2 linked regions of the Arabidopsis thaliana genome follow. The protein of the gene in region 2 interacts with the protein of the main gene of each other region in a pairwise test. Each region holds a gene or a part of one and is shown on either strand. Other genes may lie near its edges.

The links. The genes of interacting proteins can lie anywhere in the genome.
Region 1: the proteins of AT5G41770 (region 2) and MYB51 interact in a two-hybrid assay, tested with the Arabidopsis thaliana proteins (one study listed by BioGRID).

What each region holds. Positions count from the first base shown.
Region 1 is NC_003070.9:6,387,509-6,391,939, forward strand, and holds MYB51 (myb domain protein 51), read left to right. Parts: upstream 1-1,890; 5' UTR 1,891-2,256; coding exon 2,257-2,392; intron 2,393-2,506; coding exon 2,507-2,636; intron 2,637-2,725; coding exon 2,726-3,518; 3' UTR 3,519-3,878; downstream 3,879-4,431. Other genes in the region: AT1G18560 (BED zinc finger and hAT dimerization domain-containing protein), read left to right, coding at 1-497. UniProt on the Arabidopsis thaliana protein: Transcription factor positively regulating indolic glucosinolate biosynthetic pathway genes.
Region 2 is NC_003076.8:16,716,249-16,721,728, forward strand, and holds AT5G41770 (crooked neck protein, putative / cell cycle protein), read left to right. Parts: upstream 1-1,697; 5' UTR 1,698-1,772; coding exon 1,773-2,932; intron 2,933-3,243; coding exon 3,244-3,309; intron 3,310-3,416; coding exon 3,417-3,561; intron 3,562-3,655; coding exon 3,656-3,874; intron 3,875-3,968; coding exon 3,969-4,182; intron 4,183-4,271; coding exon 4,272-4,467; intron 4,468-4,570; coding exon 4,571-4,688; 3' UTR 4,689-4,974; downstream 4,975-5,480. Other genes in the region: AT5G41765 (DNA-binding storekeeper protein-related transcriptional regulator), read right to left, coding at 304-635, 690-816.

The DNA.
Region 1 (4,431 bases), on a different chromosome or scaffold from region 2:
ATTTCACATCTTCAATGACTAGCGGGTATCGTCCTCAGGAGGTAGATGAAGGAGGAGGAAATATCTCATTTGCAGAGGAAATCGCTAGAAGGAAAAGAAGAGGAAGTATGAGTAACAATGTTGTTGATGAACTGACTCAGTACTTATCAGAGTCTATAGTTCCAATGCAGACTGATGTGCTTGATTGGTGGAAGGTAAACAGTGGAAGATACCCGCGACTTTCCAACATGGCTCGGGATTTCCTTGCGGTTCAGGCGACTTCTGCTGCACCGGAAGAGATCTTTTGTGGTAAAGGAGAAGAGATTGATAAGCAGAAGTATTGCATGCCTCATGATAGCACACAATCTGTTATTTGTATCAGATCATGGATTGAAGCTGGTATGAAACTGAAGTACAAGTGTAGTGAGATTGACTATGAACGACTAATGGAGTTAGCTGCCACCGTGGCCGCTGATAATTCTGCCGGAGGTTTAGAAAAAATTCAACAACATAGGTGAGATTATTTTTTAGTATTTGTACTAAAGAACTACTGTAATTTAGTTGTCATACTTTTAGCATGAATCATTGAATTTAGAGTTGGGTTGATGTAAACCAAGCTGGTTAGCTTTCTTCATAACCGTATGTACTTTCATATCATATTAGAGAGAAAAAAAAACACAATGTTGACTAATTAATGGGTTCTGTCTAACTAGAAAAGTGGAAATTAGTTGTACGAAAAAAGAAAATAGCTTATCTCTTTCTTTGTACCTTAGATTTTTCCTTGGTATAATGGATATCGATATGTCCAAGTCCAGTGTTTGAGTGACCAAGTTGTTGCTTTAATTTAATCTAGTTCAAATACGACTACTTTTGTGTTGTACCTCTCTACCTTACCTTCCTCGAATTTTCAATTCGTGTGCTAGTTTGCCAATTGTTTCTTTATAATTTTGTCGTCTCTATGATTGTTTAAGCATATTTAAATATTTGAGAGAAAAAAATACTAAGAGTTCAGTCGTATTTTGAAAAGTCCTCGCACTCCAAGTTTTAAAGTTGAATTCATTCTGTCATGGAAACGTACCTTTGTGGTTTTTCATTTCGATAGACATTTTTTAACTCTTCTGATAAATTCAAAATGTTTTTTTACATTGGTTAAAATTTGTTGCCAATTTCAATAAAGCTTTTTTTTTACTCGTTATAAAATTAAAAACTTGCTGAGAAATTATAGTTTCATATATACTTTGGACCGACGGTCAATACCAAAAAACTAAAATAAAATTTTGGTCAAGAATCGGGTCAATACAAAATATCTCCAAAGATCGAAGAGAAAGTTCAACAGGATTTTAATTTAATTGGTGTTCCGGACCTGCCGGCGCCGTATTATAATTCTTCAATAAATTTTATATTTTGGATTGCATAATCAAAACTATTTGCATAGCAGACATAGATTTCAAAATAAATTGATACGTAATTAGCTATTTACATAGGCAAGACAATTTTACGTTACATATTTTGCATGCTTGATATTCATTCTTTTTTTTTAGCAACCTTTGCTATATTCATTCTATTTTTTCCCCTTTTTTTGCTACTATCAATATCATATCAGATGTGGCGGTTCTTATGCATGGGATTATGAAAAATGATATTATATAATAGATGTCTTCGTAGTATTTTTTTATTGACAATCAAAATAAAATAAATTAGTTTAAGAAAGATCAAAAGTCTAGTGTCAAAATGTCCACTGACAAAAGTTAGCAGTTTTTCTTTTATGTAATAATCCGATTATAAAAAATTGCGTTAAGGAATCATAATGAGCCATGTGTCAGTCATATTTAAACGACGACGTTGGCAGCAGCCACACGTACAGCCTCAGGCAAGCATAAATAGAGATGGGCTCTTTCCTATAAGTTTCCCACTTTGCAAAGTGTAACACAAACAGTTCTCTTTAGAGAAAAAAAGATTCTCTCTATAAAACCTTCTCTTTGTGTCTCTCTTTGTGGTAAGAAAACAGAGCAACTAGATCTCTCTTCTCCTCTGCTCGTTCAATGTTATAACGATCTCGAGTATCACAAAAGAACAAGATGTCTATTCGAAGAATCTACCGATGTCTGAATTCTTTAATCAAAAGATCTTGTGCTCAATCTCTATGATCATACGCCCCATTTCACACTTTGTTTCACCTCTCAGTTTTTTTTTTTGTGTTTTTTTGTCCCTCTTTGTTTCACTTGAGAACAACCCCCTTTGAACTCGATCAAGAAAGCTAAGTTTGAAGAATCAAGAATGGTGCGGACACCGTGTTGCAAAGCTGAACTAGGGTTAAAGAAAGGAGCTTGGACTCCCGAGGAAGATCAGAAGCTTCTCTCTTACCTTAACCGCCACGGTGAAGGTGGATGGCGAACTCTCCCCGAAAAAGCTGGTATGTATTATTTTTTATTATGTTTATTCCGTCATGTTTGAATATTCAATGTTGGACCTTTATTGGTCATTATTGCTCAATTATTTTACTTAAATAATTCTTCTAATTGGATAGGACTCAAGAGATGCGGCAAAAGCTGCAGACTGAGATGGGCCAATTATCTTAGACCTGACATCAAAAGAGGAGAGTTCACTGAAGACGAAGAACGTTCAATCATCTCTCTTCACGCCCTTCACGGCAACAAGTTAGTCTCTCTACCTCTACATTTTATACTTATTTTTTGTTTGCATTAACATTTACTAATATTGTAATCTTATATGTGGTTTTAATCAGATGGTCTGCTATAGCTCGTGGACTACCAGGAAGAACCGATAACGAGATCAAGAACTACTGGAACACTCATATCAAAAAACGTTTGATCAAGAAAGGTATTGATCCAGTTACACACAAGGGCATAACCTCCGGTACCGACAAATCAGAAAACCTCCCGGAGAAACAAAATGTTAATCTGACAACTAGTGACCATGATCTTGATAATGACAAGGCGAAGAAGAACAACAAGAATTTTGGATTATCATCGGCTAGTTTCTTGAACAAAGTAGCTAATAGGTTCGGAAAGAGAATCAATCAGAGTGTTCTGTCTGAGATTATCGGAAGTGGAGGCCCACTTGCTTCTACTAGTCACACTACTAATACTACAACTACAAGTGTTTCCGTTGACTCTGAATCAGTTAAGTCAACGAGTTCTTCCTTCGCACCAACCTCGAATCTTCTCTGCCATGGGACCGTTGCAACAACACCAGTTTCATCGAACTTTGACGTTGATGGTAACGTTAATCTGACGTGTTCTTCGTCCACGTTCTCTGATTCCTCCGTTAACAATCCTCTAATGTACTGCGATAATTTCGTTGGTAATAACAACGTTGATGATGAGGATACTATCGGGTTCTCCACATTTCTGAATGATGAAGATTTCATGATGTTGGAGGAGTCTTGTGTTGAAAACACTGCGTTCATGAAAGAACTTACGAGGTTTCTTCACGAGGATGAAAACGACGTCGTTGATGTGACGCCGGTCTATGAACGTCAAGACTTGTTTGACGAAATTGATAACTATTTTGGATGAGTGAAACTCATAATCGATGAATCCCACGTGACCATGTCAATATGATGTCTATGGATATGTTACCTTGATGATGTTGATGGTAATAATAATAAATAATGATGGTGATGATGACCATGCATGAATCATGAATGTAGTTCGTGTTGTCACATATGCTTGTGTTTTTGTGTTTTTTTTTTTTGGTCTGAAGTGTGTTGTTTCGTTGTAAATGGATTATAAATGGTGATGTAATAATTATAATGTTAACGAGTTGTTAACTTTAGTACTTTTATTGTGTTGGTTATCAGAATTTGTATCCATCCGAATATGAGATTGCTTTATTTTGAAAAATCATTCATTAGCTGCTGCTGCTGCTAACTACTAGTACCATTGCTATTTTAAATTTTAATTGGCAGTATTCCACTATTAGGTCATCTTCATCTGTAAGATACTTTAAAAGGTTTTAAAATAAAATAAAAAATTACTGTAATTTAATTTTGTAATTATTTTTTTTTAAAAAAAATATTCAATTATAAGCAAACACTTATAGAAATAGTCTTTCACTGATTATTCCAAAATTTCTCAAGAAACGTTTCTTCATTTTTTGTCATTCTCTCTCCTCATTTATTAATTATTTATATTATCTTTATCAAAAGAAACTCTAAAAATTGTATGGATGGAGATGCTCTGGTTTATTTTATGAGTTAGGGCTAATAGATTGAGCAGATTGGTAAAGAAATATATCCTCAACCAGTTTTGTATATTAAAAAAAAAACCAACGATTAACTTATTTTGTGACTTAAATCTTTCATTCTCTAATGTATATAAAATTCACCCTATCAACATACGAATAATATTCAGCAATGAGACCCACATAAATTTAAAGCAAGCGAGAGGATCATTCTTTGAATGTTCCGAGGGTTAAAGATAAGAAGAA
Region 2 (5,480 bases):
CCAACTGGGAAAAAGCGGAAGAATGAAAGGACGTTAATGAACAAAGATGTGAATGCCAAAAGATTGAAGAAAGATGTGAAAAGGTGAGTTCTCAAAGGTTAGAGTGGAGTGAGGAAGACGAGATCCGTGTGCTACAAGGTATGATGGATTTCAAAGCTGTAACAGTACAAAATCTTTCTAATGATATGAACGTAACTTACGAAATCCTTTAGGAATATATAAGCGTTGATGTTTGTAGCTATGCATTTGTAGAGAAGATGAAGAGTATGAAAAAGAAATTAATGGAGAAAATGAGGATTAACGCTAAAGATTTGTCTTCTTCGGTTCCGAGTTGTTGAAACTTATTTGGGGATGTGATGTGAAATTGGCTTGTTCTATCTTAAGTAAGTTATACTCAACAACAGATTTCACATCATATCTCCAAATCAGTTTTAACAACTCAGAACCGATCGAAGAAGACAGATCTTTAGCGTTAATCCCCATTTTCTCTATTAATTTCTTCTTCAAACTCTTCATCTTCTCTACGAACTCATAGCTATAAACGTCAACGCTTATATATTCATGGAGGAAGTTGTAAGCTCCGGTCATATCATCAGAAGGATTATGCCTTGTTAGAGCTTTGAAATCCATCATACCTTGTAGCACACGATCTCGTCTTTTTCACTTCACTCTAACCTTTGAGAACTTACTTTTCTTGGCATTCACGTTTTTGTTCGTTAACGTTCTTTCGTTCTTCCGTTTCTTTCCAGTTGGCTTAGCTTCACCAGAACCACCACAAACCTCCTTCTTGGACCGGTTGGTATTCGCTTTGTCCATTATCAAAAAATGTTTTAGGTTCTCTGAGAGGAAAAGAGAGCGAGAATTGGTAGAAATTTAAACCAACAAAGCACTTGACTATTTATTTACCTTTTTCTTAGAAATGTGTATTTTTTATTTAATATTCTTTTATAGATTTTATGCTTTTTTGTGATATATATAATTTTGAAAAGAAAATAAATTAAAAGAATTTATATAGTGACATGAATGTTATATAATGAGCCATAATTAAGTCAAACCCAAGATTGGTTCGACAATTCGTTTTTGGTTAAATTGATAGCAAGTGTGGGCGTGAGTGGAGATTCTGTGAAAAGAAGATGGAGTTTGTTGCACACAAACAAGATAAAGATGATTGAAGACAAATGGAGAGTCTTGATGACCAAAGAAGATAAATTTGTGTTGCAAAAGATAGAGCTTTTGCATGAAGTGGTTTCTCTGATCATTTACGTTGAAGCATTTACTCACTAGATGCAAAATGTTTCTTGATTTGCTTTTTTTGTTGGATTTTTCTGTCCAAGTTTTTGCTTTATATTATGTCATTGTTGCTTCTATGTTTAGAATCTGACCTCTATTAAATGTGAAACTTCATTAGTATTTTTGGTTACTATGTTGCTCTTTCGTTGATAACAACTTTGAAATGTTAGTCGCACCAAATTTAGTAAAACCGTTTTCTTATACATGTTACAAAGCTTGCTTGAAGGCTATAACAAAAGATTTCAAAGGGTTTAACAAATTAAACAGATACTAAATTTGTGTTTATTACGGCCCATTAAGAACCCAATTAAGAGCGATATTGGGCTAAGACTGATATTTTAATATTAAACCTATTACGGCCCATTAATAGCCCAATCAATATGTAAACATATGCGTCTTCGTTCCATGTCTCCAATCTTATTTCTTCTTACCCTTTTTTCCAAAATCCAGAAACCCCAGAGAAAGCAAAACCGCGAGCTCTCATGGCTTCCGGCGGCAAAGATTCCGATCGTACCTTAGGGTACATGACACGGAAAGATACAGAAGTCAAGCTTCCAAGACCTACTCGTGTCAAGAACAAAACTCCGGCGCCGATTCAAATAACTGCCGAACAGATATTAAGAGAAGCTCGAGAGAGACAAGAAGCTGAGATCCGTCCTCCCAAGCAAAAAATCACTGATTCCACTGAGCTTTCCGACTACAGACTCCGCCGGAGAAAGGAATTTGAAGACCAGATCCGTCGCGCGAGATGGAACATTCAAGTTTGGGTCAAATACGCTCAATGGGAAGAGTCACAGAAAGATTACGCTCGTGCTCGAAGTGTTTGGGAACGAGCCATAGAAGGAGATTATAGGAACCATACGCTTTGGCTCAAATACGCAGAGTTCGAGATGAAGAACAAGTTTGTGAACAGTGCGAGAAACGTTTGGGATCGAGCTGTTACGCTTCTTCCTCGTGTAGACCAGCTTTGGTACAAGTATATTCATATGGAGGAGATACTTGGGAATATCGCCGGAGCTAGGCAGATTTTTGAACGGTGGATGGATTGGTCACCGGATCAACAAGGTTGGCTCTCGTTTATTAAGTTCGAACTTAGGTATAATGAAATTGAACGTGCTAGAACGATATACGAGAGATTTGTTCTTTGTCATCCCAAGGTTTCGGCTTATATTAGATATGCTAAGTTTGAGATGAAGGGTGGTGAAGTTGCTCGTTGTAGGAGTGTGTATGAACGTGCTACAGAGAAGCTTGCTGATGATGAAGAAGCTGAGATCCTCTTTGTGGCGTTTGCTGAGTTTGAAGAACGTTGTAAGGAAGTGGAAAGGGCTAGGTTTATCTATAAGTTTGCTCTTGATCATATTCCTAAAGGAAGAGCTGAGGATTTGTATAGGAAGTTTGTTGCTTTTGAGAAACAGTATGGTGATAAGGAAGGGATTGAGGATGCCATTGTTGGGAAGAGGAGGTTTCAGTATGAAGATGAAGTGAGGAAGAGTCCTTCCAACTATGATTCGTGGTTCGATTATGTTAGGTTAGAAGAGAGTGTGGGGAACAAAGATAGGATCAGAGAAATCTATGAGAGGGCTATTGCTAATGTTCCACCTGCTGAGGAGAAACGATACTGGCAAAGATATATCTATCTCTGGTGAGTTTTTTCTTTCTCAATTTGGTTTAATGATTTTTGGTAATTACGCATTATCGATTTAGAATTGGAATGTTGGCTTCTTATATTGATCATGGTTTTGATAAGAATGCTAAAATCTTTGAAATTGGTTGTCTTAGGCAGAGATTAGTTCTATCATATATGTCAAGCTTTTAGCACATCCGAGTCATTAAATATATCATATATGAGAACAGAATCTTGCATTCCATGGAAAGCTATTGCTGTTGTATTTTGTTAGCTTATGGTTCTGCGGTTTTCTCAAATACTAATACTGATGTGACTAAATTGTGTAGGATTAATTATGCATTATTTGAAGAGATTGAAACTGAAGATATTGAGCGTACCCGAGATGTTTACAGGTACGCTAAAGTCTATATTCATTTACGTTTTGGTCATGGCTATTTTGTCAAATATCACCTGATAGTTTAAACTAACTAATTTGTCTTTGTCTTACTGAAATTTTCAGAGAGTGCCTTAAGCTTATCCCCCACAGCAAATTTTCTTTTGCCAAAATATGGTTGCTCGCTGCTCAGTTTGAGATAAGGCAATTGAATCTCACGGGTGCTCGCCAGATATTAGGAAATGCGATTGGAAAAGCTCCCAAAGATAAGGTAAGCCTATAAATCGTTTAAACTATGATCGCATTCCTCTCCTTTAGAGACGCAAATGATTTTACTTACCGTGGTGATTTTTGTCTGCAAATAGATATTCAAGAAATACATTGAGATCGAGCTTCAGTTGGGAAACATGGATAGGTGTAGAAAGTTATATGAACGGTATCTTGAGTGGTCTCCTGAGAATTGCTATGCTTGGAGCAAGTATGCTGAACTAGAGAGGTCTCTTGTTGAAACAGAACGAGCTAGAGCTATTTTTGAACTTGCAATATCCCAGCCAGCTCTTGACATGCCTGAGCTGCTTTGGAAGGTAAGTTTTTTAAGTCGAATACATTCATAGAATCGAGATTCCTCAGACTTTTGAAACCAATTGGATAATTGAAATTCTATATTGTTTGTGGCAGGCATACATTGATTTTGAGATATCAGAAGGGGAATTAGAGAGGACAAGGGCTTTATATGAGCGACTCTTGGACCGTACTAAGCATTACAAGGTGTGGGTTAGCTTTGCAAAGTTTGAAGCTTCTGCTGCGGAACTAGAGGAAGACGAGAATGAAGATGAAGACCAGGAAGAAGATGTTATTGAACACAAGAAAGATTGCATCAAACGTGCCAGAGGTAACTTTAAAACTACACATTATATCAGTTTTGATGATTCCTTGCAACATGTTATAACTGTTTATTCTCTCTATATTTCTTCTACTCAGCAATTTTCGATAGAGCCAACACATATTACAAAGACTCCACACCAGAGCTGAAGGAAGAACGAGCTACGCTCTTGGAGGATTGGCTGAACATGGAGAGTAGCTTTGGTAACCTCGGGGATGTTAGTATTGTTCAATCGAAGCTTCCAAAGAAGCTCAAGAAAAGAAAGGCGATCACTAGAGAAGACGGGTCAACAGAGTACGCATTGCGTATATATAATATCTCGATTTTTAATATCTTTCGAATGTGATTAGTTAAATGCTAAAGCTTAACGTGAAAAATTGTTTGAATGTTTAAACAGGTACGAAGAATACATCGATTATTTATACCCAGAAGAATCGCAAACAACGAATCTCAAGATTCTTGAAGCTGCATACAAATGGAAGAAGCAGAAGGTTGCTGCTTCTGAGGATGATTGAGATTAAGCTTTTTTCTTAAGTTATATCAAAAGTCAAAACTGTGAAATGTGTTTTGTATTCTTCCTTAGCTCTTTGTACACATCGTTTGGTTTAGCAGTAATTTTTGTTATCCAAGAACCTAACAAAACTCAAATTTGTCCTGTTATGTTTTGTTTTGGTTCGAATTTTCCGGTTTAGAAATTAATCAGGATACTTCTTCATTCCGGTTTATGTTCTGATCTCTCGGTTTGTGATACGTTTGAAACGGAATCTAGTTTAATCTATATATATACATTTTAGTTTAATCTATATATATATACATTTTTGCTGTGAAATAAATAATGGAGTTGGAACTTATTTATAATCGCTGGCTTATTCAATGCAAAAATTAACTACCAAATCAAAGCAAATCTTATTCAAAACAATATGCTCTTATTCTATGGTCTAATTATTTTTGCTAAAATGGTTAAAATATTTAAAAATTAAATAATCATTTGAAAGAAAACTTTAAATTGATTTAAATTATAAATCTTTTCATAAAAATATTATTAATAAAAAAAAAAAATTCACCGAACATGATTAGATAGTAAGACTAGATGGTAGGGCGTGTTTATAATATTATAATATATAAACTTTATAACAATTAAATAACTATTTGAAAGAAAATTTTTAAATTGATTTGAATTAAATATTTTTTAAATTAAAATATTATTAAAACAAAAATAACAAAATAATGTCTAATTTTACTGAACGGGGTTAGTGGTAGGACGAGTTTGGTCGATAGTATTACGAGACGGTATACCACAAGTGAAA